Linked DNA regions of Macaca mulatta. The protein of the gene in region 1 purifies or fractionates together with the protein of each later gene. This does not show direct contact. Links are inferred from orthologs where the notes say so. Each region holds a gene or a part of one and is shown in the gene's direction. Other genes may lie near its edges. The genes, in order: ANKRD52, PPP6C, PPP6R2 and PPP6R1.

Region 1 (7,769 bases):
GCTGCTTCATCATCATCATCAATCATCAAATATTAAGTGCCTGTTTCTCTATACTGATATTCTGGAGCTTAAAAAAACCAATACCTTTTCCTTCGGAAAGCTCAAAATAATTTTTTTTCATTAAAAAAAAAAAAAAATTTAAAGTCCATGTTAGAGAAGACTCTGACTCTGGCTTACAAGGAGTTTAAAATCCACTTTATGGCCAGGCATGGTGGCTCACACCTATAATACCAGCATTTTGGAAGGCCAAGGTGGGCAGATCACCTGAGCTCAGAAGTTTGGGACTAGCCTGGGCAACATGGCGAAACCCTGTCTCTACAAAAATTAGCGGGGCATGATGGTGCCCACCTGTAATCCCAGTTACTCCTGCAGCTGAGGCAGGATCACCTGAGCCCAGGAGGTTGAGGCTGCAGTGAGCTGAGATCACACCACTGCACTCCAGCCTGGGCGACAGAGCGAGACTCCATCTCAAAAAAAACAAAACAAAACAAAAACAAAAACAAAAATCAGTAGCCAGGTGTGGTGGTGTGCACCTGTGGTCCCAGCTATTCAGGAGGCTGAGGTTGCAGTGAGCTGACATCAAGCCACTGCACTCCAGCCTTGGCGACAGACTCCAGCCTAGGTGACAGAGTGAGACCCTGTTTCAAAAAAAAAAAAAAAGGTGAAAATGAGACCGGGTGCAGTGGCTCACACCTGTAATCCCAGCACTTTGGGAGGCTGAGGTGAGCGGATCACGAGGTTAGGAGATCGAGACCATCCTGGCTAACACGGGGAAACCCTGTCTCTACTAAAAATACAAAAAATTAGCCTGGCATGGTGGCGGACACCTGTAGTCCCAGCTACTTGGGAGGCTGAGGCAGGAGAATGGCGTGAACCCCGGAGGTGGAGCATGCAGTGAGCTGAGATGGTGCCACTGCACTCCCGCCTGGACGACAGAGCAAGACTCCATCTCAAAAAAAAAAAAAAAAAAAAGGTAAAATGAGAAACAAAGGTGTACAATTTAACCAGATTGTGGCAGTATAAACTAAGTATGTAAGTGTTAAGGAGAACAAAAGGAAAAGAGCCTATTAACCAGGGGAGACTTCCTAGAAGAGGTAAGTTTAAAGCAACATTTTATTTCTTTGTAATTTTTGTGTGTGCATGGAATCACGGAGTGATTGCTCCTAAGCAATATTTTAACTTTTATTTTCAATATGGTAAAAAATTTAAAAATTCTAAAAGGTATATAGTGATAGGTAAATTTCCCTCTCATTCCTTATTTCCTGTACCCCAGTTTTTCTTTCAAGGAAAAAAGGACTGTTACTAGTGTCTTAAGTATCTTTCTAGTAGGAAGGCAAGGGAAGGCTTTTTTTGTTGTTGTTGAGACAGAGTCTGCCTCTGTCACCCAGGCTGGAGAGCAGTGGGTTCTCCTGCCTCAACCTCTCCAGTAGCTGGGATTACAGGTGTGCACCACCACACCAGGCTAATTTTTTATATTTTTGGTAGAGATGGGGTTTCACCATGTTGACCGGAAGGCTTTTTTTTTTTTTTTTTTTTTTTTTTTGACAGAGTTTTGCTCTTTTTGCCCAGGCTGGAGTGCAATGGCACATCTCGGCTCACTGCAACCTCCGCTCACTGCAACCTCCGCCTCCCGGGTTCAAGCAATTCTCCTGCCTCAGCCTCCCAAGTAGCCGGGATTACAGGCGCCCGCCACCATGCCCGGCTAATTTTATGTATTTTTAGTAGAGGCGGGGTGTCATCATGTTGGCCAGGATGGTTTCGATCTCTTGACCTCGTGATCCGCCCGCCTCGGCCTCCCAAAGTGTTGGAATTACAGGCGTGAGCCACCGCGCCCGGCCAGGAAGGCTTTTTAAAAATGTATTTTCGCAGGGTGCGGTGGCTCACGCCCGTAATCCCAGCTCTTTGGGAGGCCAAGGCAGGTGGATCACCTGAGGTCAGGAGTTCGAGACCAGTCTGACCAACATGGTGAAACTCCCGTCTCTACTAAAATAAAAAAATTATGGCCGGGCGCGGTAGCTCAAGCCTGTAATCCCAGCGCTTTGGGAGGCCGAGACGGGCGGATCACGAGGTCAGGAGATCGAGACCATCCTGGCTAACACGGTGAAACCCCGTCTCTACTAAAAAATACAAAAAAAAAAAAAAAAAAAAAAAAAAAAAACTAGCCGGGCGAGGTGGTGGGCGCCTGTAGTCCCAGCTACTCCGGAGGCTGAGGCAGGAGAATGGCTTAAACCCGGGAGGCGGAGCTTGCAGTGAGCTGAGATCCGGCCATTGCACTCCAGCCTGGGCGACAGAGCCAGACTCCGTCTCAAAAAAAACAAAAACAAAAACAAAAACAAAAATTAGCCAGGCAGGGTGGTGGGCGCCTGTAGTCTCAGCTACTGGGAAGGCTGAGACAGGATAATCACTTGAACCCGGGAGGCGGATGTTGCAGTGAGCCGAGATCATGCCACTGCACTTCAGCCCGGGCAACGAGAGTGAAACTCCGTCTCAAAAAACAAAATAAAATAAAATATATTTTTATTTTTAAATTTTTTTCCTCTCCCCGCAAGGGAGGACCTTTATATATAAAGCCTTGACAAGACGCCAGCATGCTGCACTTCGTCCATTATGTGTTCTCTTCAATGTGTATTGAGTTGTGAAACTCTGAACAGGACCCTGGATCACCTTTCAGAAATTGTATCAATTTTTCAACTCACTTTTCGTCTTCCTCCTTTTTCCAATTCTGGGTTGAGATGACTTCCATTCATTTCTTCTCTAACTGACGGCTTTCTGGCCTCTCCATTGGAGGAGGGGAAGCGCCACATGCTGTTCTGGGAAGAAATTGTAGAGTGTTTTCCACTTTAACCTTGCAATGGAATCAGTAAGGAGCTGGAAAATGTCCCTTCTCTTGGTCTTGGCGGCCTTTTCCAGTTGCCAGTTGTCATGGCCTCTTTGTGGGTGTTTTCTGCAGTAGAATCCTCCTTGGGGTTTCTCCGCATTTTGAGCACTTTTGCTATTTCTTCTCTACCGAACTCACGCATCCGCCAGTGGAGATACACGCTTTCCCTCCCTCTGGGGATATTGCCATACATAATTCCCAGTTCTCCACCCGCCAGTTCCCCCTAGTCTGTGGGGGATTTCGGGGTGTGGAATCACTGACGGGAGGAGTTAGCTCGGGCGGGAGCATTGTGGGCTGGGTGAGATCTGGCCCGCCGTTCGGTCCTCAGTTTGGGAAGCACCGCGGGACCAAGGCCCAGGTTTCCGCTAGGATCTTGTGAGGAACCCCTTGGGCCGCCAGACTGGCGCAGCCAGCTGCGGGAGCCGGGGAGCCGGCGCGTGAGTTCGGGGGTGCAGGGGCTGCAGGGGCCGCCAGGGTGGGGCGGAGGGCGCTGCGGCTGGGGTCCGTTTGCTCTGGGAGCGCCGGGACTCGGACGGCCGCCAGGGAGCGCTGCGGCCTCCCGCTCGCCCGCCCCCCGGTAGGCGGGGCCGCGCTCTCCCTGCAGCCGCCGCCGCAGCCGCCGCCTGGGCCGCTCCGTGTCCCCGGTGGAGCCACCGCCGCCGCCGCCGGGAGCTCGATGCGGACGGAGCCCGGGCCGGGCCATGGGGATCCTCAGCATCACGGACCAGGTCAGCCCTCCTGCCCTTCCCCGCTTCCTCCTTCCAGGGCTCCGCGCTACCGCCACGCGAGCCCGGGGATGTGCGGCCTAGGCTGGGCCCGAGCCCGGGGCTCCCGCAGCTCCCGCCCCGCCCCATGCCGCGCTCCCCTCAACCAAGCCGGTGTCCTTGGGGACCTGGCAACCGGAGGAGGCACCGCGGGAGCCCGCTCCAGCCAGAATCCCCAGAGTGGAGCCCCTCCACGGACGCCCCCCCCCCCCAAACCTGGGTGCTCCCCCACCCCCACCCCCACACCGGTTCCGCTCCGGCTCCAGCCCGCTCTCAGATTGCCGGTTCTCCCTGCAGCCGCCCCTGGTCCAGGCCATCTTTAGCCGAGATGTGGAGGAAGTGCGTTCCCTACTCTCGCAGAAGGAGAACATCAATGTGCTGGTGAGTTGGGAGCAGGGAGGATGGCGAGACCGGAATCCTGGCTCCCGTGTTCTGGACCCCTCCCCACCGGTGGGGCGGCTCCGTGTCTCCTCTGCTCAGATGAGGCCGCAGTTCTTTCCATCCTGGAGTGAAAGCCTACTCTGCATTTGGGGATGGAGAGCAGGTCAGGCTTACAGCCCAGATCACTTGGGCTGGGGATGCCCAGGAACGTTGTTCTCTTCTGAACCTCCGGAGTCTGCAGCGCCCCCACCCCTCCTGGAAAAAGGAGCCGGCTTCTCAGCCCATTGGCCCTGACTCCACCCTCCCTAGGTGCTTGCCTTTGACTCCCAGTACTGGGACTTAGGACCCTGCAGAAACTATGGGAAGAGGTTGTGGGGAAGGGCCTGGAGCTCTGAGGCTTGGGCTGGGGTGCTTGATAGCCCCCTCACCCCGCGCCCACAGTCCCTCCTCTTTTTTGCCTTCTTAGGACCAAGAGAGGCGAACTCCATTGCATGCTGCTGCCTACGTAGGCGATGTCCCCATCCTCCAGTTGCTACTGATGTCAGGTGAAAGTGGGGAGCTGGAAGGTGTGGCACATAGGGAGGGAAGGGAGGGGAGGAGTCTTTTTTGATATTCAAGGATTGCTCTCCCGGGCTTGGTCCAGGCAAGGCTCCAGCTCCATTCAGATTTCCTGGCCTGATTACTGGCTTCCTTCATACCCCCTCCTCACCTTCCATCAAAATAGGAAATTATATCCCCACAGGTGCTAATGTCAATGCTAAGGACACACTGTGGCTGACCCCTCTTCATCGTGCTGCTGCCTCCCGAAACGAGGTATGCGCCCCCACCTTCTTTTACCCTTTCAAAAAGGATGAGTTGCTTAAAGGTGGAAGTTAAGGGTCAAGGAGCCTCAGTCCTCAGCCCTACAAGCTGTTCTACCCCAAGTAGTGAGGAGATCAAATCTTGGCCCCTCCCTCCTACCCCTAGAACTGGCTGGTAAGGGGGCTGAGTGCTGCCAGCTGATGTGACTCAGGGAGAGCTTAACACTGGGCTGGCAGACTGCGGGGGCCCTGCTGCCAGGCCTGAGTGACTCATCCCTCCCTGGGGGGCCACCTTAAGTCTGATCCCCCTCTGGGCACTGAGATTTCTTTCCTTGTGATGGGGGATGGGTATAGTAATCTGTTGCATCCTTGGCCCTCAAGTAGCTTGAAAGTTGACAGCACAGGGGCCAAACGTATTTCATCAGTTGGGTCCTTTGCCCTATTCCCATCAGCCCTGCAGACAGGGAAAGGGGGACCTCCTCCTCAGTTCATCACTTCCCTGGCTCCAGCTACCGGGGGAGGGGCCGAGGCCAGTGGGAATGAGGTAGGTGGTGGTTAGGAGGGGCATGTTAGCTCGGGTTTTGCAAAGGAACCGGTATCTGTTTGCTTACTGAGATACTGAAAATAATTTTGGTGCCTATGAGAAGGCTAAAGAGGGTGTTCAGGGCAAGGTGCAGCAAGAGCATTTAGTTTTCCTAGAAGTGGTGGGGGGTTGGGATGTGTGGATCTCCATGTGTAGATTTGTTTGGGAATGGATGTATGTGTGAGTGAAGATTTTCATGGTCTAAGTTGGCGAGTCAGGTGGCTTGAAGAAGAGCAAAGGGTCCTTGTTTTACTCAGCAAGGTAAGGAAGAGCTCAAGTTCTAAGAAGATCCAGAAGATGGGAAGTAGGTATTGAGAGGCTAGGGATGTTGGAAAAATGAGAAGAGACTCTGTGCTGGGGAAGATGGGGCGGTAGATGCTCTGCTGACCTATTCCTCCTTCTATTTCCTGTTGTTTTACCTCCCGCTCCTACTCTCTCTTTTGTCCCCTGCCCCTCAACAGAAGGTGCTGGGGCTGCTGCTGGCACATTCAGCAGATGTGAATGCCCGGGACAAGCTGTGGCAGACACCACTGCATGTGGCTGCTGCCAACCGGGCCACCAAGTGTGCTGAGGCTCTGGCACCCCTGTTGAGCAGCCTCAACGTGGCTGACAGGAGCGGGCGCAGTGCTCTGCACCATGCAGTGCATAGTGGGCATCTTGAGGTGAGGACTGTTCCCATCCAGGCCCAGCTGGGGCTTTCCCTTTTCTTACCTTCCTACTCACCTTTCCCTGCTTCTGGGCCTTCAAGCCTGAAGGATAAGCAGCCCAGATGGTTATATAAACACTAAAACTCAAGCGCTAAATGAATGGTCAGACTAGATTAAAATTCTTAACTTGGACTTCAGGAGGTTGATAAAACCTTGGATTTTGCTTAGAAAATATCTAAGCAAAATTTTTGCTTACACGCCTTTCTGAAGAGAGTACGTGTCTTTCAGCACATTTGCAAAGACAAGAGTTTAAGAACCACCAAATCACCTGAAGAGACTCCCTTGTTTCCCTCAAAGTTCCAGATCTCTCCAGTATCTCCTCCTTAGTGCCTGCTTCTGCTGTTCCCTCAAGTCCTCCAGGTTGTTTTGCTCATGGAAAAAGGCATTAGGCTGCCTCAGCCTTTTCAGATGAGGCCTCTGCTCTTAGGTAGGTTGAGGGCACGAATCTGACTCTGAACAAGTGTCTTTCATATCCTGATACAGACGGTGAACCTGCTCCTCAACAAGGGAGCCAGCCTGAATGTCTGTGACAAAAAGGAGCGGCAGCCTCTACACTGGGCAGCTTTTCTAGGTGAGAGAGAATACACGGGAAAATCAGAAATTTAACATTTAGGATTCCTAGAGCAGGGATATGGGGTTGCAGCCTTTGAAGAGAGGAGTGCCGGGCCTTAGAGTTTATCTTCTACTTCCTTTAGAGTGTCTTCTCTTTTCTCAGGGCACTTGGAGGTCCTGAAACTGCTGGTGGCACGGGGAGCAGACCTCGGCTGCAAGGACCGCAAGGGCTATGGGCTGCTCCATACAGCTGCTGCCAGTGGCCAGATTGAAGTGGTGAAGTACCTGCTTCGGATGGGAGCGGAGGTCAGGGCTTTGAGCTCTGGGGTTGGGGACTATGGTCAGTGAGTAGGAGATTATAGAGTCTGTTATGGAGATATGAGATATTGGGTTGTTGGTGTAGTTTTGGGAGGTTGGAAGGGCGTGGTAGAGAGGGTCTGAATAATGCTTACCTTAGCCATAGTACCCTGAGTACCTTAGTACCTTGGGTCAGAAACCCCAGAGGAACTGAGGCAGTCATTGGATTTCTGGGATCTGTAGGCTACATGTGCTGGCTTCTACTTTGTTTAAACTGATACCGCCTTACTCTCACTGCTGAATATCCAGATCGATGAGCCCAACGCTTTTGGAAACACAGCTTTGCACATCGCCTGCTACCTGGGCCAGGATGCTGTGGCTATTGAGCTGGTGAATGCCGGAGCCAATGTCAACCAGCCGAATGACAAGGGCTTCACACCACTGCATGTGGCTGCAGTGTCCACCAATGGCGCTCTCTGCTTGGAGCTATTGGTTAATAATGGGGCTGACGTCAACTACCAGGTGCCTGAAGGGATAAGGCTTAGACCAGTGGGGAGCGAAACCTGGCTCTAGGGGTCCTGACTGTATCTGGATAACTCTCGTGGAATTATCCACTTGCTTCCTGGGGTAATCAGACCTTGCCAGGGACTCAGGAGAGAGTGGGCTAAGAAGGTGCCATATGACCCTTTTGTCCTTAGAGATATGTCCTTGGAAGGAGATAGGGCATTCTCTGTGCTTTGCACTGGAAAAAAACAAAAACAAAAACCCACCATGTTTCCACAGAGCAAAGAAGGGAAAAGTCCTCTG
Region 2 (7,104 bases), on another chromosome or scaffold:
AAATTGCATAATAATTTTTTGCCATGTGACAGTCCCCATTTCAGTATATGAAAAGGTGTGTATTAGTCCATTTTCATGCTGCTGATAAAGACATACCCGAGACTGGGCAAGTATAAAAGAAAGAGGTTTAATGGACTTACAGTTTCACATGGCTGGAGAGGCCTCATAATCATGCAGAAGGCAGGCAGGACCAAGTCACATCTTACATGGATGGCAGCAGGCAAAGAGAGAGAGAGAGACTGTGCAGAGAACTCTTGTTTTTAAAACCATCAGATCTCACGAGACTTACTATCATGAGAACAGCACAGGAAAGACTTGCCCCCATGGTTCAATTACTTCCCACCGAGTCCCTCCCACAACATATGGGAGTTCAAGATGAGATTTGGGTGGGGACACAGCCAAACCATATCAAAGTGATTGTGTACTTTTCTACATTTAACTATGTCCTCTAATTAATTGCCTTAGTAAGCCACTGTAGATAGGGTTGGGTAATAGCTATCAGTAATGAGTGGGCATAAAAATAACCCAGAACCCCTGGTTTAAGGCATAAATCTTCAATTGACTATTATTTATTCAAACTTTTCGAGCATTCATTTTTATCTCTTGTTAATCTATGGATGGATGAATATACATACCTACACATTTGCTATTAAGGTAGATGTTTGCTTTTCTTTTGGAATGTAGTGTTACTGTTGAACTTTTTCTGGATCCTTCTCTCATTATCTTTCCTTCTGAAAGTTTCTGGGTCACTTTCCTATTTTTTTTTTTTTTTTTTTTTGAAATGGAGTCTCGCTCTGTTGCCAGGTTGGAGTGCAGGTGTGATCAGCTTATTGCTACCTCTGCCTTCCGGGTTCAAGTGATTCTCTTGCCTCAGCCTCCTGAGTAGCTGGGATTACAGGCGCGTGCCACCATGCCCAGCTAATTTTTGTATTTTTACTAGAGACGGGGTTTCACCATGTTGGCCAGGATGGTCAGGATCTCTTGACCTCCTAATCTGCTGGCCTCGGCCTCCCAAGGTGCTGGGATTATAGACATGAGCCACCGCACTTGGCCACTTTTCTTTCAGTTGTTTTCCTATTGGTGTAATATTGGCCCAAGTCAGATATTAATGGGAAGTGTAAATAGTATATTATCATATATGGTTGTTAAATGCAAAACTGAACCTAGAATGCTGTTATAATTATGGTATTTGTTTTTACAAAAAAATTTTTTTTCTTCAAGTAGGCAGCTCTTCCAATACAGTTAAAATGATTTCTTAAAATAGAAAATTATTTTATCTGGGCATGGTGGTGCACACCTGTAGTCCCAGCTACTTGGAGGCTGAGGTGGGATGATTGTTTAGGCTCAGGAGTTCTAGACCAACCTGGGCAACATAGTGAGACCCCCATCTCTAAAAAAAAAAAAAAAAATTGAATTTTTAAAAATTAAATTACTTAAAAAATACTGGTTAACAGATGACCAAATCAACTAATGCAGGTAATAGAGGATTGAAAAAAATGGTTTTGCCAGGTATGGTGGCTCACACCTATAATCCCAGCACTTTGGGAGGCCGAGGTGGGCAGATCACAAGGTCAGGAGTTTCAGACCAGCCTGACCAACATGGTGAAACCCCTGTCTCTGCTAAAAATAGAAAAATTAGCCAGGTGTGGTGTCGGTGTGCGCCTGTAATCCCAGCTACTCAGGAGGCTGAGGCAGGAGAATCACTTGAACCCAGGAGGTGGAGGTTGCAGTGAGCCGAGATTGCGCAACTGCACTCCAGCCTGGGTGACAGAGTGATACTCTGTCTGGAAAAAAAAAAAGCGAGAAAATGGTGGTTTTTCAGGGAAAGTTCTTGAGAGAATGGCACAGCAGATTCTTGTAGGTTTCCCTGGAGTCCAAAATCTTGTTTCTATAAACATTTAATAGAAACAGTTTGTTTACTTCTATTTTAATTTTTGTTAAAATCAAATTTCCAAATATTTCAGTATGTAACTTTTTATTGTAGTTATGAACCATGAGTTTGTGCAGTTTGATGTAATTTGAAAAGAATATTGTGGCTATTGTATTGTTTGTAACTGTACACTTTTACTTCACAGGGTGATTTTGTAGACAGAGGTTACTATAGTTTGGAGACCTTCACTTACCTTCTTGCATTAAAGGCTAAATGGCCTGATCGTATTACACTTTTGCGAGGAAATCATGAGAGTAGACAGATAACACAGGTCTATGGATTTTATGGTAAGAACTCCTATTTCTCTGATTCTGAATATTATTTTACTTTCCTCTTTGGAAAACAAAGCTACACAAGTCATACACATGCTTTATGTATATTATTTTCCCCACATCCTCACTCCTTCACTCCTCCCCAACAATTGAAAATCTTATGCTGGAGAGATTACTGTTAACTTTTTGGTGTGCATCTTTCTAGATCTGTGCCTCAAAGTGTAGTCCTTAGTTTATCTTGCTGGAATCACCTGGGTTCTCATTAAAAATGTAGATTGTGGGCTGGATGGGGTGGCTCACACCTGTAATCACAGCACTTTGGGAGGCTGAGGCAGGCGGATCACAAGGTCAGGAGATCGAGACCATCCTGGCCAATATGGTGAAACCCCGTCTCTTCTAAAAATACAAAAATGAGCTGGGCGTGGTGGTGCATGCATGTAATCCCAGTTACTCGGGAGGCTGAGGCAGGACAGTCGCTTGAACCAAGGAGTCGGAGGTTATGGTGAGCCAAGATCACGCCATAGCACTCCAGCCTGGCGACATAGTGAGCCTCCGTCTCAAAAAAACAAAACAAAACAAAACAAAAATGTAGATTGCTGGGCCTCACCACAGATTTATTAATCAAAATATTTTGGAGTGGGAATCTAGAATCTGCTGAAGGTGAATGTTCTGCACAAATTGGAGAGTCCATTCTCATCTATTTTGTGTGTGTGTGTATTTATGTGTGTTTATATATGTACAAACACACACTAAAATGGGGTCATACCTGATTTTTTGACTTTATTGTCATGTTTATAGCTGCATCATATACCATATGGATGTACCATAATTGATGTATCAGTTTTTTCTCTATCATTAGACTTTAGAGTTGTTTTTAAGCTGCTATTACACATCCTTTTACATATATCTCTGTATGCTCACTCCAGAGAATGCTAGGACCTCAGGGATCAGAAGCAGAACTTAGTCATAAAAAGCAAAATAGGCCAGGCGCAGTGGCTCACCCCTGTAATCCCAGCACTTTGGGAGGCCGAGGCGGGTGGATCACCTGAGGTCAGGAGTTTGAGACCAGTCTGACCAACTAAACCCCGTCTCTACTGAAAATACAAAAGTTAGCCGGGCATGGTGGTGGGGGCCTGTAATCCCAGCTACTTGGGAGGCTGAGGCAGGGAGAATTGATTGAACCCAGGAGGTGGAGGTTGCAGTGAGCCAAGATTGCGCCATTGCACTCCAGTCTGGGCAACTGAGCGAGACTATGTCTCAAGAAAGAAAAAAAAGCAAAATAGCTACTTCTCTAAAACTTTTATTTGGTTGAAAGTTACAGAGAGAGAGAGAGAGAGCGCTTATTAGGAACCCCCTTGAAGGAAATATAATTATCAAGATTATGAATTTGGATTTTCCTTGAGCACAATTAAGGCAGATATTGAGAGATTTGGAAACATTAATTGCAGAACCCTTTAGTTTTAAATTTTATATTTTGAATTATCTTCTGTCATTATAAAGATAGGCTGGGCTGGGCGTGTTGGCTCATGCCTGTAATCCCAGCACTTTAGGAGGCCGAGGCAGGCAGATCATGATGTCAGGAGATTGAGACCATCCTGTCTAACATGGTGAAACCGCGTCTCTACAAAAAATACAAAAATTAGCTGGGCATGGTGGCGCTTGCCTGTAGTCCCAGCTACTCGGGAGGCTGAGGCAGGAGAATCACTTGAACCTGGGAGGTGGAGGTTGCAGTGAGCTGAGATTGTGCCATTGCACTCCAGCCTGGGTGACAGAGCGAGACTCTGTCTCAAAACAAAAGAAAACAAAGATACTCTGAACTCTCTTACTCTTCAGTTTGTCTGCCATTATCAATTAGAGAAATTTTGATAATTGTTTTTATATAATTTTTTAAATACTTGTAAAGTTAGATAATATTTGTCTCCTTTCTTTTTTCTTTTTTTTTTTTTTGAGGCGGAGTCTCGCTCTGTCGCCCAGGCTGGAGTGCAGTGGCCCGATCTTGGCTCACTGCAAGCTCCGCCTCCCGGATTTATGCCATTCTCCTGCCTCGGCCTCCCGAGTAGCTGGGACTACAGGCGCCCGCCACCTCGCCCGGCTAGTTTTTTGTATTTTTTAGTAGAGACGGGGTTTCACTGTGTTAGCCAGGCTGGTCTCGATCTCCTGACCTCGTGATCCGCCCATCTCGGCCTTCCAAAGTGCTGGGATTACAGGCTTGAGCCACCGCGCCCGGCCTATTTGTCTCCTTTCTACAAGTTACTTCTTATTTTCGTTTACAAAACAAACACCAATTGAAATACAACTTTTGGATCAATATTTTAGATACCATACTATGATATTAGCTCAGTGAAGATACTAAAACTAATGTTATCAAAACACACACACCTACTATATATATGTAACTAATGCTACATGCATAATATATAAAACGCATATTGTTATATATGACTAATATATGACATATGTTTTTTATATGTGACTGTTTTTATATATACAGTTATACTCCAGAATTCGCCCAGTTTTCATCAATGTAGGGCTAAAGGGGAAAAAAATGGGGTGAGGAAGGAGGACATTTTAATCAAGGTGCCTTGACTGAGGAAAATGACAGCAACACAAAATCTAGTATTGAACTTTCTTGTTCCCAGAGCTCTGTTCTTGTAGTGGTGTTGTATGGTTTTGTTTAATAAAATGAAGCTTAACAGCTCCTCGGGAATAAGATAATTTTAGTTATTATAAGACTTACATTGATTTTAAAGGAATAAGATATCCCTATATAACTTTACACTGGGCCTTCAGTTCAACACATGCTGGGGCCGGGCGCGGTGGCTCACGCCTGTAATCCCAGCACTTTGGGAGGCCGAGGCGGGCGGATCACAAGGTCAGGAGATCGAGACCACGGTGAAACCCCGTCTCTACTAAAAATACAAAAAATTAGCCGGGCGCGGTTGTGGGCGCCTGTAGTCCCAGCTACTCGGGAGGCTGAGGCAGGAGAATGGCGTGAACCCGGGAGGCGGAGCTTGCAGTGAGCCGAGATCGCGCCACTGCACTCCAGCCTGGGCGACAGAGCGAGACTCCGTCTCAAAAAAAAACAAAAAAACAAAAAAACAAAAAACACATGCTGGGCAGTTACTATAGAGCCAAGCTCAAGATCCCTGCCTGCAACCTGAGCTCATTGTTAGGGCTCTCTTATGCCAAGTTTACATAACAATCTTGCTTCACATAGATATATAATTGAGAAAATCTTGGGGAGTGGTCATAACCTGCAGACTTCTTTCCTATATCATTTTCAGCTTCACTTAAGGCAATAATGGTATGTCAGGTTTTTTTTTTTCTAAAATTATGGAAGAAGTCAAAGTGCAGAGCTTCCATGGTGTTAACAGAAGAAGTGTGTACCCTATTAACTATGTAGACAGTCAGGGTATAGTGGCTCACACCTGTAATCTCAGCACTGTGGGAGGCTGAGGTAGGAGGATTGCTTGAGCTCAAGAGTTCAAGACCAGCCTGGACAACATAGGGGGACCCCCATTTCTACCAGAAATAAGATTAGTCAGGTGTGGTGGCACATGCCTGTAGTTCCAGCTATTCGGAAGGCTGAGGTGGTAGGATCGCTTGAGCCCAAGTGGTTGAGGTTACAGTGAGCTGTGATCTTGCCACTGCTGATTGCGCCACTGTATTCCGACTTGGGCGACAGAGTGAGACCTTATCTCAAAAACAAAAAGCTATGGAGGCAGCAGGAAGAGTGTTCAACTGGGAATTTGTAAGAACCTGACTGGCAGTCTGTCCTCAGTTGTGATCCACTGAAGCTCAAGTGTTTAGTTGGACAATTTGCAGAAAATCTCAGAAGAGACAACTTGGCCCTGAGAAGAGTTAGGAATTGCTCATGTTCCTATAACTAAGGGTCCTCTAATTTGTTTGATCTGATTATCCTGCTAGAATGGTCTCCTTAAATAAATTTATCTGTTTACCAGAATTACCTAATATTAACATAACTGTAAAAACATTTGCTTCAGGTTGTGTGAAATTTGTATTTGACTCTTCTAATGATAGCATTTTGGTTAATAATTTCAGCTGCTTCTTAGGTCCATTCCAGGAATGAAGAGCAGTACTACATCCTTAGGAAATACAGTCATGTGCCACATAATGACATTTCAGTCGATGATGGACTGTATATACAACAGTGGTCCCGTAGATATAACGCAGTTGAAAAATTCCTATTGCACAAATACTTACCCTTGTGTTACTATTTCCTTACGATATTTAGTACAGTGACATGCTTCACAAGTTTATAGCCTAGAAGCAATAGGCTATATCATATTGCTTAGGTGTGTAGTAGGCTAGACCATCTGGGTTAGTAAGGATATGTGATGATGTTCACACAATGACAAAATCACCTAACAATGCATTTTTCAGAATGTATCCCCATGATTAAGGGACATATAACTGTATATAGTTAATCACTAGTGTTCTTTTGGCTCTATGTGGAGGTCCTAGTAGGACTAAATATGTGTCGTATCTTGCTGTCCTAGTTTAAGCTGAATTTCTGTTATACTGAAAGCTGCTCTAGTATTGGATATATTGTTTATTTTTATTGGCAGATTCATTAATTAAAACCCTTCTGTTTCTTTCACAGATGAGTGCCAAACCAAATATGGAAATGCTAATGCCTGGAGATACTGTACCAAAGTTTTTGACATGCTCACAGTAGCAGCTGTAAGTTTCTATTTTTAAAGTCTCATGTATGTTCCTGCCAATAACACATTGCATATTTTTATCTAGTTGTCATCTCAATTATGTTGATATCTTTAGTATTCATTGATGAATTTAGATATGCCTGAGGTTATATGTTCAACTCTTTGTTATCCTTTTTTGCTAGTTAATAGATGAGCAGATTTTGTGTGTCCATGGTGG
Region 3 (7,104 bases), on another chromosome or scaffold:
GGCCTGTGAGGCCGGGAGGAGGAGGCCGGCGTGGGGCCGGGAGGAGGAGGCCGGCGTGGGGCGGGGAGGAGGAGGCCGGCGTGGGGCCGGGAGGAGGAGGCCGGCGTGGGGCGGGGAGGAGGAGGCCGGCGTGGGGCCGGGAGGAGGAGGCCGGCGTGGGGCGGGGAGGAGGAGGCCGGCGTGGGGCCGGGAGGAGGAGGCTGGCTGCTTTCTTAGATTCTGTTCCGCGGCTTCTCATTTCTGGGAGTTCCTCACCGTGGGCTTCCGCACCAACAGACTTGGAACTCGGATGCCCATTGGGGTCTCGGTAGGAGCAGATGTACCCACCACCCTGCCCACAGTTGCTGCACCTCAATCTCAGTGTGGCCCCAGGTCCCTCCAGACACGCGGCTGTGCTGCCTCCTTCCCATCCAGCAAAGCCCGTGCTTCAGGCCCTCAGACGGACTGACCGCGGTAGCAGCGCCCCATCCTCCTGGACCCACGATGCACCTGCTGTAGCTCCTGGGTGCCTTGCGCCATCTGCACGGGGTCTCCCAGGGCTCACCAGGCAGCACTTCCCTTGCAGGGCTCCCTGCGGATTGCCGTGGCCGCTGGGAGAGCTTCGTGGAGGAGACACTGACGGAGACGAACCGCAGGAACACTGTGGACCTGGTGAGGAGGCTCGAGGCTGCCCCCTCGGCATGTGCACGGTGCTGGGACGCCGTCCGACGCTCCTGCCTTTGCCCTGAGGCAGAGGCCAAGGGAGGCACAAGGGCCGCACACCTGCCTGCTCCTGTTGCACGCGGCGCCCCTGCGTAGCCCGCAAGTGTGCAGTGTGTCCTCTGGGCTGGTGTCCATAACAGAGACCCTGTCCTGTGCCACACCAGGGCTGGGTCTCTGAGGACCTCTGTGCAGAGCCGGTGTTGGCCTCAGTTCCCTTCCCTCCCACTCCAGGAGCTGTAGCTTATTGGCAGAGGGCTCCTTTTGCCTGAGACCCACAACCTGCCCCCTGCACATGGAGGTTGGGCTGTCACGGGGCCTTGGCCTCACCTGGGCACCTTACACAACACGGCCTCTGGGGCCCAGAGATCTGACGAGTGACGTGCTGGGCGGGGTCTGGGAGCCCTGGGCTGGGCAGGGTCCTGGGCGCTGGGCTGGGTGGGATCTGGGGCGCTGGGCTGGCTCACACGCCCACCCCATCTGGCCTGTGTTTTAGGTGAGCACTCACCACCTTCACTCCTCGAGTGAGGACGAGGACATTGAGGGTGCTTTCCCTAACGAGCTGTCCCTTCAGCAGGTGAGGGCGTGGCCGGCACCTGTGTGCGCTGCGCTTGGTCCTCCAGACGAGTCTGATGGCATCTCACTAGCAAAGGGGAGAGGGGGCTCGTCTCCGAGCACGTATGGGGCGGGGTGGGTCTGAGGGGAGAACCCCAAAGTCACTCCACCTTGATGAGAGCGCTGAGAACACAGCAGATGGACTCCAAAGTCAGAATATGGGGCGTATCTCAGATGTGACCGCAGCGGGCGCGCAGCCTGAGTTTCGGTAGAATCGTGAGCCCTGAACGGTCAGAGTTTACTGCCGGCTTTTGCTGGAGGAGAAGCTCCTGAACAACTAGAGAGCCTGTGGTTCCAAAGAACAGCCTCCAGGCCTGAGGCTGCTCCATGACTGGTGTCCCTGCCTCCCTCCCTCCCAGGCCTTCTCTGACTACCAGATCCAGCAGATGGCAGCCAGCTTCGTGGATCAGTTTGGCTTCAATGATGAGGAGTTTGCAGACCAGGACGACAACATCAAGTGAGTCTGCTTGGACGCCCGTCCTTGATGCTGGGGTCCCACGGGGGCAGCTCCCTGAGGCCTTGCCAGGAGTGCGGCCTGATGTCCCTAGTGAGCACCAGGGGAGAAGAACTGCGGCCCCAGATGAGCAGTGAGGGGGCAGGAGCGCTGAGACCACCCTCCTTGCTCTTGCAGTGCCCCGTTTGACAGGATTGCAGAGATTAACTTCAACATCGACGCTGACGAGGACAGTGTGAGCCAGCGGGGCTGTGTGGCACTGTGCGGGGCTGTGTGGCGTGCGGGGCTGTGTGGCGTGCGGGCACCCTTTTCCCAGGCAGCTCAGGCCGCGCCCATGGCTCGGTCTGCCGTGGGCCTGTGTGGTGGGGCTGGTGGAGGCCCCTCTGTGGAGCTCGGAACAGTCGCTTTCCTTGCCCCTCCCCATCCTGCCCTCCAGCCCGGGGCTCCCACATCCTGAACTAAGCCCCTCTGGGAGCCCTTTGGGGAGAGCACCTCCTGTCTCCCCCAGACCCTCTGGAAACTGACCTTGGCGTTTTACTCGGCAGCCCAGCGCAGCTCTGTTTGAGGCCTGCTGCAGCGACCGCATCCAGCCCTTTGATGACGATGAGGACGAGGACATCTGGGAGGACAGTGACACTCGCTGTGCCACCCGGGTGATGGCCAGAGCCAGGTGCGGGGCCCGCCCATCCCCCAGAGCCTCTGCCGAGGAGGTGCAGCCACCAGAACACCTGTCAGACGCCCCGACGCCCTGCTGCTTGTTAACTCTGACTCGCAGAGCAGGCTCACCTGTCCTGCAAGTTCTGGGGCCCAACGCAGCGGGTGACCCTGAGGAGCCCGGAGCTGAGGCCTAGAGCCACTCCTGCTCCTCTCTCGAGATGATCTGTGCTCACTCTCAGCCCCGAGCTTGGGGCCGTCACTAACCCTCAACGTTAGGCGTCCATCCTGGGCCACCAGGCATCTGACTCTGAGTCTCCCCCAGGTTTGGAGCCCCCCATGCTTCAGACAGCTGCTCAAAGAATGGCCCAGAGCGCGGAGGCCAGGACGGGAAGGCGAGCTCAGAAGCACACGGAGATGCACCTGGGGCAGGTGCCCCCCTGGCCCCTGGGAAGAAGGAAGCCCCCACTGTGGAGGGTGACTCAGAAGGTGGCGCTGGGGGCCGGGGCTGTGGGTGTTGGGGACAGGACATGGTACCCTGGCCTGGGTGTTGTGGAAGCTTCATTTGGGGCTCACTGTGGCCCGGAGCCTGCATCCCCAGCTCTTTCCCAGCCATCCTGAGTAGGGGTCTGTGCTGCCCTGTGCCCGGCACAAGGTGGTCTCCTGGCCCTGCCTCTTGATTGTGGTCACTCAGCCACGTTGCCAAGGCTGGTGGGTGGTGTCCACCTAGTCTTCATCGTCCACCCGGCCCCCACAAAATTGGGCACGGGCCTGACGCCCTCCCCAGCACAGCAGCTCAGGCCGGCCGCCACCCTCACAGCCTACGTCTGTGGCAGGAGCTGGTCCACCTCACAGGCCGCATGGCTGATAAGACCCCTCTCCTTACCCCTGCCCTGGAGGCAGCACTGAGGCACTCAGGACTGTGGGCGGGGGGGACCGGAATCTGTGCGGCACTCAGGACTGTGGGCGGGGGGGACAGGAATCTGTGCGGCACTCAGGACTGTGGGCGGGGGGGACAGGAATCTGTGCGGCACTCAGGACTGTGGGCGGGGGGGACAGGAATCTGTGCGGCACTCAGGACTGTGGGCAGGGGGGACCGGAATCTGTGCGGCACTCAGGACTGTGGGCGGGGGGGACAGGAATCTGTGCGGCACTCAGGACTTTGCGGGGGGACAGGAATCTCTGTTAGGAGGTGCTGAGCTCTTAGCTGAGGCTGACGGAGCAAGGGTGACATCCTGGGGAAGCACGAACATCCCAGATAGGAGGGAGGCACCCCATCCTCGAGGCCAGGGAGGGGCCAGTGGTGCTCGGTGAGCTGCCGTCTCTGTCGGTTGCGTTCCTGGCTAGGGCAGGGCAGTGGTGTCACCTCCACGGTCAGTTCAGCCCTGCTGGAGGCCTGGGGCCCCTCAGGCGCCTCCCTGAGCCTCGGGTCACATGCCCCATGGGTGTTGGCAGCTTGTCAGGACCCTCAAGCTGCCCCGTTGCTCTCTGAGGGGCTGATGCGCACTGCCCAGCCCTCCCTCCTGGATCAGCTCCATGTTCCTGTCAACCTCTGTGGGGCCCCTGGGGTGGGGGTGCTGCCTTCCCTTTGCCTGCAGCACCCTAGGCAGGCCTGCCCACACCTGACCCGTGTCTCCCCCAGCAGGCGCCATGTGGACGGCAGTGTTTGATGAGCCAGTGAACTCGACACCCACAGCCCCAGGAGTGGTGAGGGACGTGGGTGCCAGCGTGTGGGCAGCTGGCACCTCAGCTCCAGAGGAGAAAGGCTGGGCCAAGTTCACCGACTTCCAGCCCTTCTGCTGGTAACAAATGCGCTGGCAGGAGGGGGCCGTGCCAGGAAGTGCCCGTCAGGGTCAGGAGGCGCCCGTCCCCCGGGACTGACCCTGTCCTCGTGCTTGCCTGCAGCTCCGAGTCAGGGCCCAGGTGCAGCTCTCCAGTGGACACAGAACGCAGCCGGGCTGAGGGCAGCCGGAGCCAAGGCCCTGAGAAAGCCTGTGAGTAGGAGTAGTGCAGGCAGCACCCAGGCTCCTGCAGAGGCCCAGCCTTGCCCAGTTTAAGGCCTGAGGCCAGCTGGCCGCCCTCCTTGGGGGCAGTGGGAGGTGGTGGCCAGGGCCCCGCATGCTGCTGGGCCTCTGGTGACGTTGGGGTTTGATACAGCAGTGGGACTGGAGCAGCCACGTGCAGATGGGGAGGCCCCCAGGGGGAGGCAGCAAGGCCATCGGGCTGGCCCTGAGTCCGGTCTGAGTAGGTGGCACAGCCCAGGCCTGCACCCCAGGTTCCGGCGAGCAGCCCCGGGACCCCAGTATTGAGATGTATGTGGGTGGGGTGCTGGCAGGAAGCCGTTCTGGGGCCTGATCAGAGCCCCTGGCCCCCAGCCCCCTAGTCAGGCTCAGAAGCTGCCCCAGATAAGGCTGAGAGCTCCAGGAGAGTGACAGCTGGCTGCCAACACTGGTGTCCCAGGTGCTTGAAGGAGCTGTGGCAGGACCATATGAGGCGGAGCGGGCCCCTCCCTGAGCCTGTGTCTTCCTGTGAGACCAAGGCGTGTTGCCCTGTATCATGGGGGAGGCAACAGGGTTGCTTGTGTGGAGACCCCATGGCAGGTGCGTGAGCGTGTCTGCCTCATCATGCGGCTCTCACACAGGCACACGTGTGCAGGCAACAGGTGCATGTGAGAGGCCACATGTATGGGGGCCCTATGGCCAGGGTGGCCGTGCCCTGTGGCCCCTCCTGCCTCACTGGACAGCACAGGCCTCCTCCTTTGCAGTCAGCCCAGCTTCTCCATGTGCCTGGAACGTATGTGTCACCAGGAAGGCCCCCCTGCTGGCCTCTGACAGCAGCTCCTCTGGGGGCTCCGACAGCGAGGACTACCAGAAGGCAGCGAGTGCCGTGGATGCCGTGAGCAGGAGTCCTGGCCGGGAGGCCCCCCCGCGGCCCACAGGGGCCAGGACAGAGGAGGCTGTCGGCAGGTGTGTGGGGCGTGGGGAGCGGGGCGGGCCTGCCCAAGTGCAAAGGGTGCGGCTTCCAGGCCGTCTCCAGGTCTCAGCTCCCCGCAGAGCAGGCCGAGGCCAGGCCAGAGGTCTTCCCCACACTGCTTCCCCCATGGCCCTGTGGCCCTCAGAGGCTGGCTCGGGGTGGTGGTGCCTGTGACCCTCAGAGGCTGGCTCGGGGGGTGATGCTCAGGGTGATGCTGCACATTAAGTGGAGCCAGATGGGAGGAGGGTGGGGCTCGTTTCTTGGACAGAACATCTGTGTTCTCCGTTGTGAGTGGTTAAGACAAGAAGACAGGGCCTGGGTGTCCCAGACAGTCCTCCAGGGACGTGGGGGAGCAGCCCCTACCCCAGATCCCGGTTGGAGAGAACAGCCCAGCTCTTGGGGCTCTGGGCCTGGCTGAGCCGCCTGGGATCTGGGTACCCTGGTGGTCAGGGAGGGGCACAGAATTTAAGTCCGGCAGGCGAGCGGGCATCTGTGGAGCTCACACAGACCTCGCCCGCTGCTCCCCTTCCACGGGAGGCCTGTGATTCCCAGACGCCTCAGAAGCAGGACAGTAGAATGGGGGCGGGGGCCTCAGGACTGCATTTGGGGGGTCCAGACCCTGAGAGTTGGAGGCAGCTTGCAGGTGGGCAGAGGCCCAGGCTCCCTTGAGCCCCCAAGAGCCATTCCTGGGGAGAGAGTGGAGAGGGAGGCACTCCCTGTGAGGAGGCTGGCGTCTGGCCGGCCCCTCCAGCAAGCTGAACCCCATCCATCCCTCCACAGGAAGAAGGTCCCTGGCATTCTTCAGTGAACAGATACCTCTCTGGCCTCTGGGGTCAGGGGGTGGGAGATTAGCAGGAGGGCAGGACAGATGGGGTAGATGCCAGGGCCAGGTAAACCTAAGGGGGAGGGTAGGACTGGGCTTGACGGGGGGACGAGGGTGCACCCGGCAAGGGTACAGCTGTGCAAAGGCCCTGGGGCCTGAGCTCCCAGTAGGTCCAGGCAACAGTGGGGAAGTCCTTGGACTGGATTCCTCTAGGAGGGGACGAGGTGCCTGTCGCCTGGTGGTACATCCCAGTCCCTCCTGGCTCCGTGGTTGTGAAGGGCCTCAGCCTGCATGCGTCTCCCCTGTGCTGCCCTCCCCTCACATGTGGAGCAGGTCTGACACCTCAGAGGGTCCTGCTCGCTGACCCCCAGCAGTCCTGGAAGGTCTGTGTGGTACTGGGGCTCCAGGCATCTCCCCCAGCCAAGCTGCAAGCTCAGCGCCGGGCTGGTCTCCCCGCCCTGTTGACCGGCAGGCCCCGTCTGTGCTCACAGCTTCTCCCCTTGTTTGGCCACCCTGTCCTCAGGGCATCTGCAGCAAGTGGGGGGCACAGCACGGGAAACGGGGCCAACGCCACAGCAGTGGATGTCCCGATGCCAAAGTCACTGGGAAGCCCAGGCCAGAGCCCCTCAGGTTGAAAGTCATACAGAGTTCCTGCGTGGGCTTCATTCCTTCTTAAAAGTTTAGTCAGTGAAAATAATTACTTGTTTGTGTTTTTGTTTTTGAGATGGAGTCTTGCGCTGTTGCGCTGAGCAGTGACCGCACTCAGCCTAGTCACTGAAATTCTTAACAGTCTTTACCCAGCCAGGCACAGTAGCTCACGCCTGTAATCCCAGCACTTTAGGAGGCCGGGGCAGGTGGATCACGAGGTCAGGAGTTCCAGACCAGT
Region 4 (7,797 bases), on another chromosome or scaffold:
GCGCGGACCCCGCGAGCCCCGGCGCCTGCGCAAGTCCCCGACGCCGCCCCCGCCCCTACTTACCGGGCCCCGCAGCAGGGGCCGGAGCCGCCGGCGGCGGGGCGGGGGGGGCGCCCCGATGAGCCCCGAGTGCGAGGAGCCGCCGCCCCCCCTCGCAGGTGAGCGGCCCGTGTCGCCCGACCCTGCCTCTCCAGGACCAGGCCCCCACGTCTTCCCCTCTCCGGACCCCCGCCGGTCTTTTCTGCTTGGGATCCTCCTTCCTTCGGGTTCCCTCTCCACGGGCCCCCGTTTCTTCCCCCTCGACCCTCTCCAGTCTCTTAATCTCTCCTCAGCTCCCCCGCCACCCACCTCTCAGTTTCTTGCCCTCGGGCTTTTCCCACCCGCTCTCTTTGCAGCTGCGCTCCCCAGTCCCTGAGCCTCAGCTCCGCTCTCTTGCCTCTCTGGCCGGTCCCCCGGCTCCCCAGGAGTCTTTCCTCCTGGTTACCCTGGACTTTGCCCGCTTACACCCATCTCTCTCGCCCCAATCTCTGCCCCGCCGCCTCTTCCGCGGCGCAGCCTCCTTAGATCCGTTGCCTGTCACCCCGGAGCTCAGGACTGGGGGAGCGGGGCTTGTCTTCACCTTGACCGACCCTCTCCCGCCTCCGGTTTCTTGTGCGAGGGACCTGGGAGCGGGGCTTCTCTGGAGCAGCCACCACTCCGGCCTGCTTCAGTGAGATGAAGCCTGCTGAGGGCAGGCAGGGCGCCTGGCGCTGGGCTCCGAGGAGGGGTCATCAGTCCTAGGCCCTGCCCTGGAGGTGGGGCCGGTCCCTGGAGGGGGGGGGGGGACAAAGGCAGAACCGGACAGTCACAATTCCTGTGTGTTGTGATGGAGGTAACTTAGGGAGCTGCAGGGGGCCACAGAGCGCAAGGCACTGGTGAGACTGGCTGGATGGATGGCTTTTTCTGTCTAGGAAGGATGAGTAGGAGGTGACAGATGGAGAGTGGGAAGAAGGGCCTTCCGGGGGGGGGGGAAGGAGCAGCACGTGCAGATATGTCAAGGAAGGAAGGTCGGAGTCCTGAGTGAAGATGTGTTGGGAGGGTGAGGGGCAGAGTAGCTCGGCCCGGGGTGCTTGTCCGGGCCTTGAATGGGACCTCTGGTTGGGGTCTTTCTTGCTCGCTCTTTGTACACACAGACATGACCATAAACATCCGCCTGAAAAGCAAGATGTTTCAGTAAAGGCAGCTGCGTAGACTGTCAGGCGCGGTACTGGGTTCACAGTTGTAGAGAAACTGCAGTGGGATTTCATCCAGCCCAAGGGCGAGGATCTAACCATCACCGTGCCCTGCAAATGCAGCAAGGACTGGAGATTGCCTGAGTAACCCGTGATGAGGACTTGGTTTACATCCATGCACAACACACGTGGAAATGCTCACGGCACCCGGCCACGTGTGCTTACTAGTGGTGGAATGGCTGTTGGAGCTGCTTGTGCTGTTTAAAATGTTATGCTTTTTTTTTTTTTTTTTTTAACTTTTGCCCAACATGTATCATTTTGCATAAGTTACATGAGACCACCTAACTCTAGTTCTGGGATTGGGATCATGAGAAGGCAGTCCAGCTAATTGTTAGAGGACCTTTTGTCAGACAGACCTAGGCCGAGTCTGGCTTCTGCTTTTCCAAGTGGTGAGACCTTGGACAAGTTGTTCTTCATCTGTAAGTGGGGATAGCAGACTGCTGTCCTCAGAGGGTAGTTCTAGGGATTAAGTGCAAGGTTTGTAGAAGCCTGGGGCAGAATGCAAGGTACATTGTGCTCTGCAATCAGTAGCTCTTTGGATGATGGTGATGATTTTGAGACTGAGTTTTGCTCCTTTGCCCAACCTGGAGTGCAGTGGTCTAATCATTGCTCACTGCAGCCTTGAACTGCTGGACTCAAGTGATCTTCCCACCTCAGCCTCCTGAGTAGCTGCGACTACAGGCACGTGCTGCAATGCTTGCTCAATTTTTGTATTTTTTTGTACACGCCCAGCTAATGTTTGTATTTTTTGTAAAGACTGGGTCTTGCTATGGTGCCCTGCCATGGTGCCCAGGCTGATTTCAAACTCGTGAGCTCAAGCAGTCCTCCTGCCTAGCCTCCCAGAGAGCTGGGATTATAGGTGTGGGACACCATATCTGGCCGTTCTTTCGATTGTTATTTGATTTGGGAGTGTCTGTTGCAGTGGTTCTCAGCTGGGGACAGTTGGCGATATCTGGAGATGTTTTTGGTTGTTCCAACTGGGGGGAGTGCTGCCAGTATCTGGTGAGTGGAGGTGGAGGCCAGGGATGTTGCTAAGTGTCCTCCAATGCACAGGCAGTCCCAGCACCAAAAAGAACTGTCCAGCCCAAATGTGGGCAGCGCAGAGGAGGAGAGCTTTGCTCCACTGCCGGGATGCTGTGTGTCGTTGTGGCTCATTTGCTCTGTTGTGACTCCTGAGCTGTGTGTTGGTGAGTTGTGTATTGCGAGTTGCCACCATCTTTGTGGCCGTTAGCTTTTGTTGGTTAATCTACTGTTTCTTTCCATTCGAGGAGAACCTGCTTGTCTGGTACCCTCCCCATTTTTTTTTCTGGGATGTGTGGCCCAGTGATCTTAACAGAACACCTTTCTCTGGCTTCAGTTTTCATTAATTCACAAGTAGCTTTAGTTGGGCCTGGCCTGACGCTAGATCCTGGGAAGTCAGCGTGTTTCAGGGGAGGCAGATGACTGAACAGGTACATCCTGTCACAGAGCCGAGGCTCACGTGCTGTCCTCGGGTGACTGTGGGATGCCGTGGAAGCAGTGTGGAGCAGGCCCCTGACACAGATGCAGTGGGGAGGCTCCCTGGAGGAAGTGGTGTCTGTGTGGGGGCCTGAAGGACCCAGGAGGAGCTAGTCAGGCTCGAAGAGCTCAGGGAAGGAGGAGGGAGTAGCCCAGTCTGGGCCGAGGGCAGTCAGGTGTGGCACCCATGCGGGAGATAGCAAGAGATGAGGTGAGAGAGACCCGGGAGCTTTGGTGAGAGTGAGGGGCCTTCCCAGAGGAGGAATCACTCGGCACCCGGCTTGGTGGGGCTCACCCGCCTTTCCATGCCAAACCGTGGTTTTTCCTTTGCACGCCAGTTTTGTGGGTCTTTCTCCACAGGGTGCTGCCTTACAGTAGCCCCATCTGTCAGGTATTTCCCGGATAAGGAAACTGGGGCTCGGTGGGGTGAGATCCTTGGTCTGGGCCACAGATATTTCAGTTTGGGGAGGTAAAATGGGAATGCACGCTTTTCTGACTTCGGATCACATTGTAACACTAACTCTGCCCCATTCTGTTTTTCCAAAGAGCTATTTCAAAATCTGTTTGTTGATCTTTTCCTTTTTTTCCTTTAAACCTGTGGCCAGTTCAGGAGACGATCTGAATGTGGGCGTTCAAGTCCCCGTCCCAGTCCTCGGCCAGTGTTTCTAGACTCTTCTGTTTCCCAGTTATTCCATTCCCTGGGGTTGGACCAGGGCTACCAGCTCCCTCGGCAGGGTGTGTTTCTGGGGCCAGAGGGGGAGCCACTGAGGGTCCTCTTTAAGTGGGGACCCTCCCCAAGGCTTTCCCAAGCCACAGGAAAGCCCTCGCTCATCATCTTGTTGGGTCTTGGACAGGTTCCCTTCTACCAAATTGGTGTCCCTGATTCCTGCTTGCTGAGTGGGTGGTGCTGGGTTCTGCAGCTGGCACACCCCATAGGTCCTGCTCAGAGATGGTGGGGTGGCCATTACTGTCGCTGCGTCCCTGGAATTGGGTGTTCCCAAACCCCTTTCAGATTTGGCTGAGAGCTGACGGAGGCTTGGGAGATATTAGAGGGAGATGGTCTTGCTGTCCTTGGGACTCTGGGCCCTTTAAGGAGCTGGGTGCTGGCCAACCTGCTGCTGGTAGCAGGCTGTTTCTCTTCCTGGGGTACTGGCCAGGGGGCCAGGCGTTGGAGCTTCCGCTGAGCATGGGGGCAGCTCAGGCGGCTGTCTCTGGAGGCCCCCGGGGCCTTTGTGCCCTGGCCTCCATTTCTGGGTGCTCATGGGTCAGCGCGGGTTGAGGAGGGGTGACAGATGAAGCGTGGGCCCGTCAGTCCCCTGGCGGCAGAGCTGTGTTTGGACGGATGCCTGCAGCAGTGGGGATGGCTTTGTGGGAGCCGCCGTTAGTGCCTGTCCAAGCAGGGGAAGGAAGGGGCTGTTAGGCCCTTGAGGGGTGACTGGTGTTGAAGGCCCTAGAACACCACAGCAAAATAAGAAACCAGAGGCAATAGTGCAGAGCTGGTGGAGGGAGAATGGCAGAGGTAGTTTTCGTTTTTAATGGCTTCCTTTCTCATTTACAATTTCCCCTTCTTCCGTTTGCAGCCAGACTCTTGGTTTTCAAACGGTAGCTAAAAACTAGTGGTAGTCACTTCCGCTTTCTTGAAGTTGCTAAAAGTTGCAAAGAATGGGGGTGGCGGGGTGCACGGCGCCTGCAGTAGTATCCGAATGGTCTGAGGAAAAGTGCTTGAGTCACTTAGGCAAATGGGTAGAGTCTGTCTCCTGCTCCTCTGTTTAGCACCATCACCTTTGGGGTCGTGACGGTCCCTACCTGTCCTGCCAGGAAGCGTCTGGACGTGGCCTCAGGGTTGGACCGAAAGGGACTTGCACCTGCCAAGCTCCTGCTGTGTCAGGGCCACTTGCTTTAGCTCTGTGCCTTTCCACGGCAGCCCGCCCTGGTGGGCTGTGTCTCGTTTTCACGGACAAGGAAATGAGACTCAGAGAAGTCAAGTGTCTGCCCAGGTTCACCTAGTTAGAGTGAGCGTGAAACCCACCTCTCCTGCCCCATTCCCAGGGGTTCTAGCAGGCTTCATTAAGTTGGGAGAGGGGACTGAGAGGGCTTGAGGCCATAGTGCATTCAGAGTTTGTGGTGGAAGAATTCAGAGTTTGTGGTGGAAGAAAGTTTTTTTTTTTTCTCTTTTTTTCTGTTCTTCCGTATTTGCATCTTCATTCTGTTTAGAGCCTGAGAATTGAAGTTTGTAGTGTCGACCACCCGATTGCGTTTGAGCCTTTCAGTCTACTCTGGTTTTCAGAGGAGCCACTTGAGGGGGAGAGTTCAAGGGACTGTCTGGGTTCTCGGGGCCAAGGGTCTCGGATGCCACGCACCAGCAAGCACCCTCCTGTCTCGTTCTGGCAGCCCCTGCCCCAGTTCTCTGGGGAGCTGGGTTTGGAGGGGAAGCGTGATGCTTAACTATCCCCGAAGCAGAGGGTTAGTCTGTAGCAGGGGTAGGGGGTTTGGGGGCCGAGGGCTATGGCCTGTGCCCTTTAATCAGGTATCTTAGAAGTGAACGGTGGGCCTCAGTATGAGAATTTCTGCCTCTTGTTTAGAGACTAGGGCATCCTGGAAGCCTCTTGCTAGCCATGTAGCTCCGCCGCTCTGGGCCCCTTTTCAACATGAAACTTTCGGAATAATAAGAATTCTTCACTTGGTCTTTTTTTTTTTTTTTTTTTTTTTTGAGACGGAGTCTCGCTCTACCGCCCAGGCTGGAGTGCAGTGGCCGGATCTCAGCTCACTGCAAGCTCCGCCTCCCGGGTTTACGCCATTCTCCTGCCTCAGCCTCCCGAGCAGTTGGGACTACAGGCGCCTGCCACCGCGCCCGGCTAGTTTTTTGTATTTTTTTAGTAGAGACGGGGTTTCACCGTGTTAGCCAGGATGGTCTCGATCTCCTGACCTCGTGATCCGCCCGTCTCGGCCTCCCAAAGTGCTGGGACTACAGGCTTGAGCCACCGCGCCTGGCCCTTCACTTGGTCTTGTTGTGGAGCTGAGACAAGTGTCTGCAAGTGTGGGTCCATGGATTTTCTACAGATGTGGGTTTGGTGCTGCTCCTGTCCTGCCCCCATGGTGGAGGGGCTCACCTAGCTTAGGGCTGTTGGTGGTGAGGGATGGGGAAGGGGTAACCTGCGTGAGTGCCCCAGGGCGGAGCCTTGGCAGCTTCAGCTCTGCCAGGCTGGCCGGCATCTCGTCAGCTCTGTGGACGCTGGGGCATAGTACAAGGCCTGAGCCTGGCCCGGGCTCTGGCCCTGCCATGGCCGATGGCCTGAGGCAGGTTTTTTTTTTTTTTTCCCAACAGTTTTTATTGAGGTATTCCATACAGTTCATCCATTTAGAGTGCACAGCCAGGAGTGGTGGCTCACGCCTATAAGCCTAGCACTTTGGGAGGCCGAGGCAGGCGGATCACTTGAGGTCAGGCATTCAAGACCAGCCTGGCCAACATGGTGAAACCCCATCTTTACTGAAAAAAAAAAAAAATACAAAAAAAAAAATTAGCTGTGCATGGTGGCGCATACCTGTAATCCCAGGTACTCAGGAGGCTGAGGCAGGAGAATTGCTTGAACCCGGGAGGCGGAGGTTGCAGTGAGCCGAGATTGTGCCACTACACTCCAGCCTCGGTGACAGCGCAAGACTCTGTCCCAAAAAAAAATTAGCCAAGCACCGTGTTGCGTGCTTGTAGTCCCCACTACTCGGGAGGCTGAGGCAGGAGAATTGCTTGAACCCGGGAACTGAAGGTTACAGTGAGCCCAGATGGCGCCATTGCACTCTATCCTGGGCAACAGAGCGAGACTCTGTCTCAAGAAAAACAATAATAAATAAAGTATACAATTCAGTGGTTCTTAGTATATTCACAACATTGGGGAAACATCACCATAATTGATTTTGGAACTTTTTTTAAATCACCCTTTCCTTTCAGGAACTTTCCCCCATCCGCTCCAGCTCCTGAAAGCCTGTAATCTCCTTTCTGTCTCTATGGATTTGCCTGTTCTGGACGCTTCACATAGGTGGAAGTCTGTGGCGTGTCGCTCCTTGGGACTGGCTTTGCTGGCGTGGCGCGGTCAGCCTTTCGGCCCGCCTGGTCTCCCACGGAGAAAGAGCCCCTGTGTGTGTGCTTGCCACGTCTCGGTGCTTCGCTCGCCACAGCCTTAGGCCGGAAATTGGCAGTCATGATGAATGTGGCGGTTGCCCCTTGAGATTATTCTGGTCCCAGGTACACCCAGATCAGGAAATCCATGCCCCCGCTGCCGTCAGCACGCTGGTGAGTCACCTTTGCTGAGCCTGAGTTTTCTCTTCTGTGACGTGGACACTCGGTGGTCGGCCCGTCGCATTCCTTGTCAAGTGGGATGGGAAGTAGGGGATGGTCCCTTGAGGAGGTCTAGCGTCTGGGCAGAAGTGGCGGTGAGGAGTTACCGCTGTGCACACAGAGGTTCTCAGAGCAAGGAAAGGACATAGTTATATTTCCTTGTGAGGTGGTGGTGCCTTCGTCACTCTCGACACAGGGGAAAATACACACCCATTGCCTGCCTGGGTCGGCCCTGAGGGCCAGCCCCAGCCTCCCCAGCCTGCCCAGGGCGGTCTTGCACTTTCCCCCACCTCTTGATTCAGGCGCCCTGTAGGAGTGGCTGGGAGGGGCCAGGGTGGGAGTGATTTCACTTTGTCCACGCCCTGAGAGGTGCGGCAGCCTCCTTGCCTGGGAGGAGCTAGGGCCTTGTGAAAATGAGGTTTGCTTTTCAGCTAATATTTCTGAGCATTTATTGCCAGGGCCAGGTTCCGTGCTAGGTGCCGCCCTCAGGTGCCCATGGTAACCTAGGAGGAAGGTTCTAGAGGAAGCCTTGTAGAGCCACGAGTGTGCACCTCCAGCGCTTCATTGCTGTGCCATAGAGATGCTTCCAGGCGGCAGGTCAGAGTGCACAGCTCAGGGAGACAGTGGTGACAAAGGCGGGGCTCGCTGCTTGAGCCAGGCAGGCCAGGGAAGGCCCTTCTGTGAGGTGAATGCTTGGTA

The links.
Region 2: the proteins of ANKRD52 (region 1) and PPP6C purify together in Homo sapiens (affinity purification with mass spectrometry; 6 studies listed by BioGRID and IntAct, with this or other methods). This does not show direct contact. The link is inferred for Macaca mulatta from reciprocal best matches to the Homo sapiens genes ANKRD52 and PPP6C.
Region 3: the proteins of ANKRD52 (region 1) and PPP6R2 purify together in Homo sapiens (affinity purification with mass spectrometry; 3 studies listed by BioGRID and IntAct, counting the BioPlex papers as one, with this or other methods). This does not show direct contact. The link is inferred for Macaca mulatta from reciprocal best matches to the Homo sapiens genes ANKRD52 and PPP6R2.
Region 4: the proteins of ANKRD52 (region 1) and PPP6R1 purify together in Homo sapiens (co-immunoprecipitation; 3 studies listed by BioGRID and IntAct, with this or other methods). This does not show direct contact. The link is inferred for Macaca mulatta from reciprocal best matches to the Homo sapiens genes ANKRD52 and PPP6R1.

Annotation. Positions count from the first base shown.
Region 1 is NC_133416.1:63,419,006-63,426,774, reverse strand, and holds the start of ANKRD52 (serine/threonine-protein phosphatase 6 regulatory ankyrin repeat subunit C), read left to right. Parts: upstream 1-3,579; coding exon 3,580-3,606; coding exon of another isoform or gene 3,607-3,732; exon of another isoform or gene 3,733-3,939; coding exon 3,940-4,023; exon of another isoform or gene 4,024-4,332; intron 4,333-4,489; coding exon 4,490-4,568; intron 4,569-4,765; coding exon 4,766-4,836; intron 4,837-5,867; coding exon 5,868-6,068; intron 6,069-6,596; coding exon 6,597-6,684; intron 6,685-6,828; coding exon 6,829-6,971; intron 6,972-7,271; coding exon 7,272-7,484; intron 7,485-7,745; coding exon 7,746-7,769. Other genes in the region: uncharacterized protein LOC144332932, read right to left, coding at 3,244-3,732. UniProt on the Homo sapiens protein: Putative regulatory subunit of protein phosphatase 6 (PP6) that may be involved in the recognition of phosphoprotein substrates.
Region 2 is NC_133420.1:22,610,489-22,617,592, forward strand, and holds part of PPP6C (serine/threonine-protein phosphatase 6 catalytic subunit), read left to right. Parts: intron 1-2,075; coding exon 2,076-2,217; intron 2,218-6,826; coding exon 6,827-6,906; intron 6,907-7,069; coding exon 7,070-7,104.
Region 3 is NC_133415.1:1,014,327-1,021,430, reverse strand, and holds part of PPP6R2 (serine/threonine-protein phosphatase 6 regulatory subunit 2), read left to right. Parts: intron 1-565; coding exon 566-651; intron 652-1,195; coding exon 1,196-1,276; intron 1,277-1,673; coding exon 1,674-1,771; intron 1,772-1,945; coding exon 1,946-2,003; intron 2,004-2,313; coding exon 2,314-2,438; intron 2,439-2,747; coding exon 2,748-2,911; intron 2,912-4,064; coding exon 4,065-4,224; intron 4,225-4,327; coding exon 4,328-4,416; intron 4,417-5,186; coding exon 5,187-5,388; intron 5,389-7,104. UniProt on the Homo sapiens protein: Regulatory subunit of protein phosphatase 6 (PP6). May function as a scaffolding PP6 subunit. Involved in the PP6-mediated dephosphorylation of NFKBIE opposing its degradation in response to TNF-alpha.
Region 4 is NC_133424.1:67,582,134-67,589,930, reverse strand, and holds the start of PPP6R1 (serine/threonine-protein phosphatase 6 regulatory subunit 1), read left to right. Parts: upstream 1-2,741; 5' UTR 2,742-2,955; coding exon 2,956-2,979; intron 2,980-3,938; exon of another isoform or gene 3,939-4,278; coding exon of another isoform or gene 4,279-4,287; intron 4,288-7,541; exon of another isoform or gene 7,542-7,797. UniProt on the Homo sapiens protein: Regulatory subunit of protein phosphatase 6 (PP6). May function as a scaffolding PP6 subunit. Involved in the PP6-mediated dephosphorylation of NFKBIE opposing its degradation in response to TNF-alpha.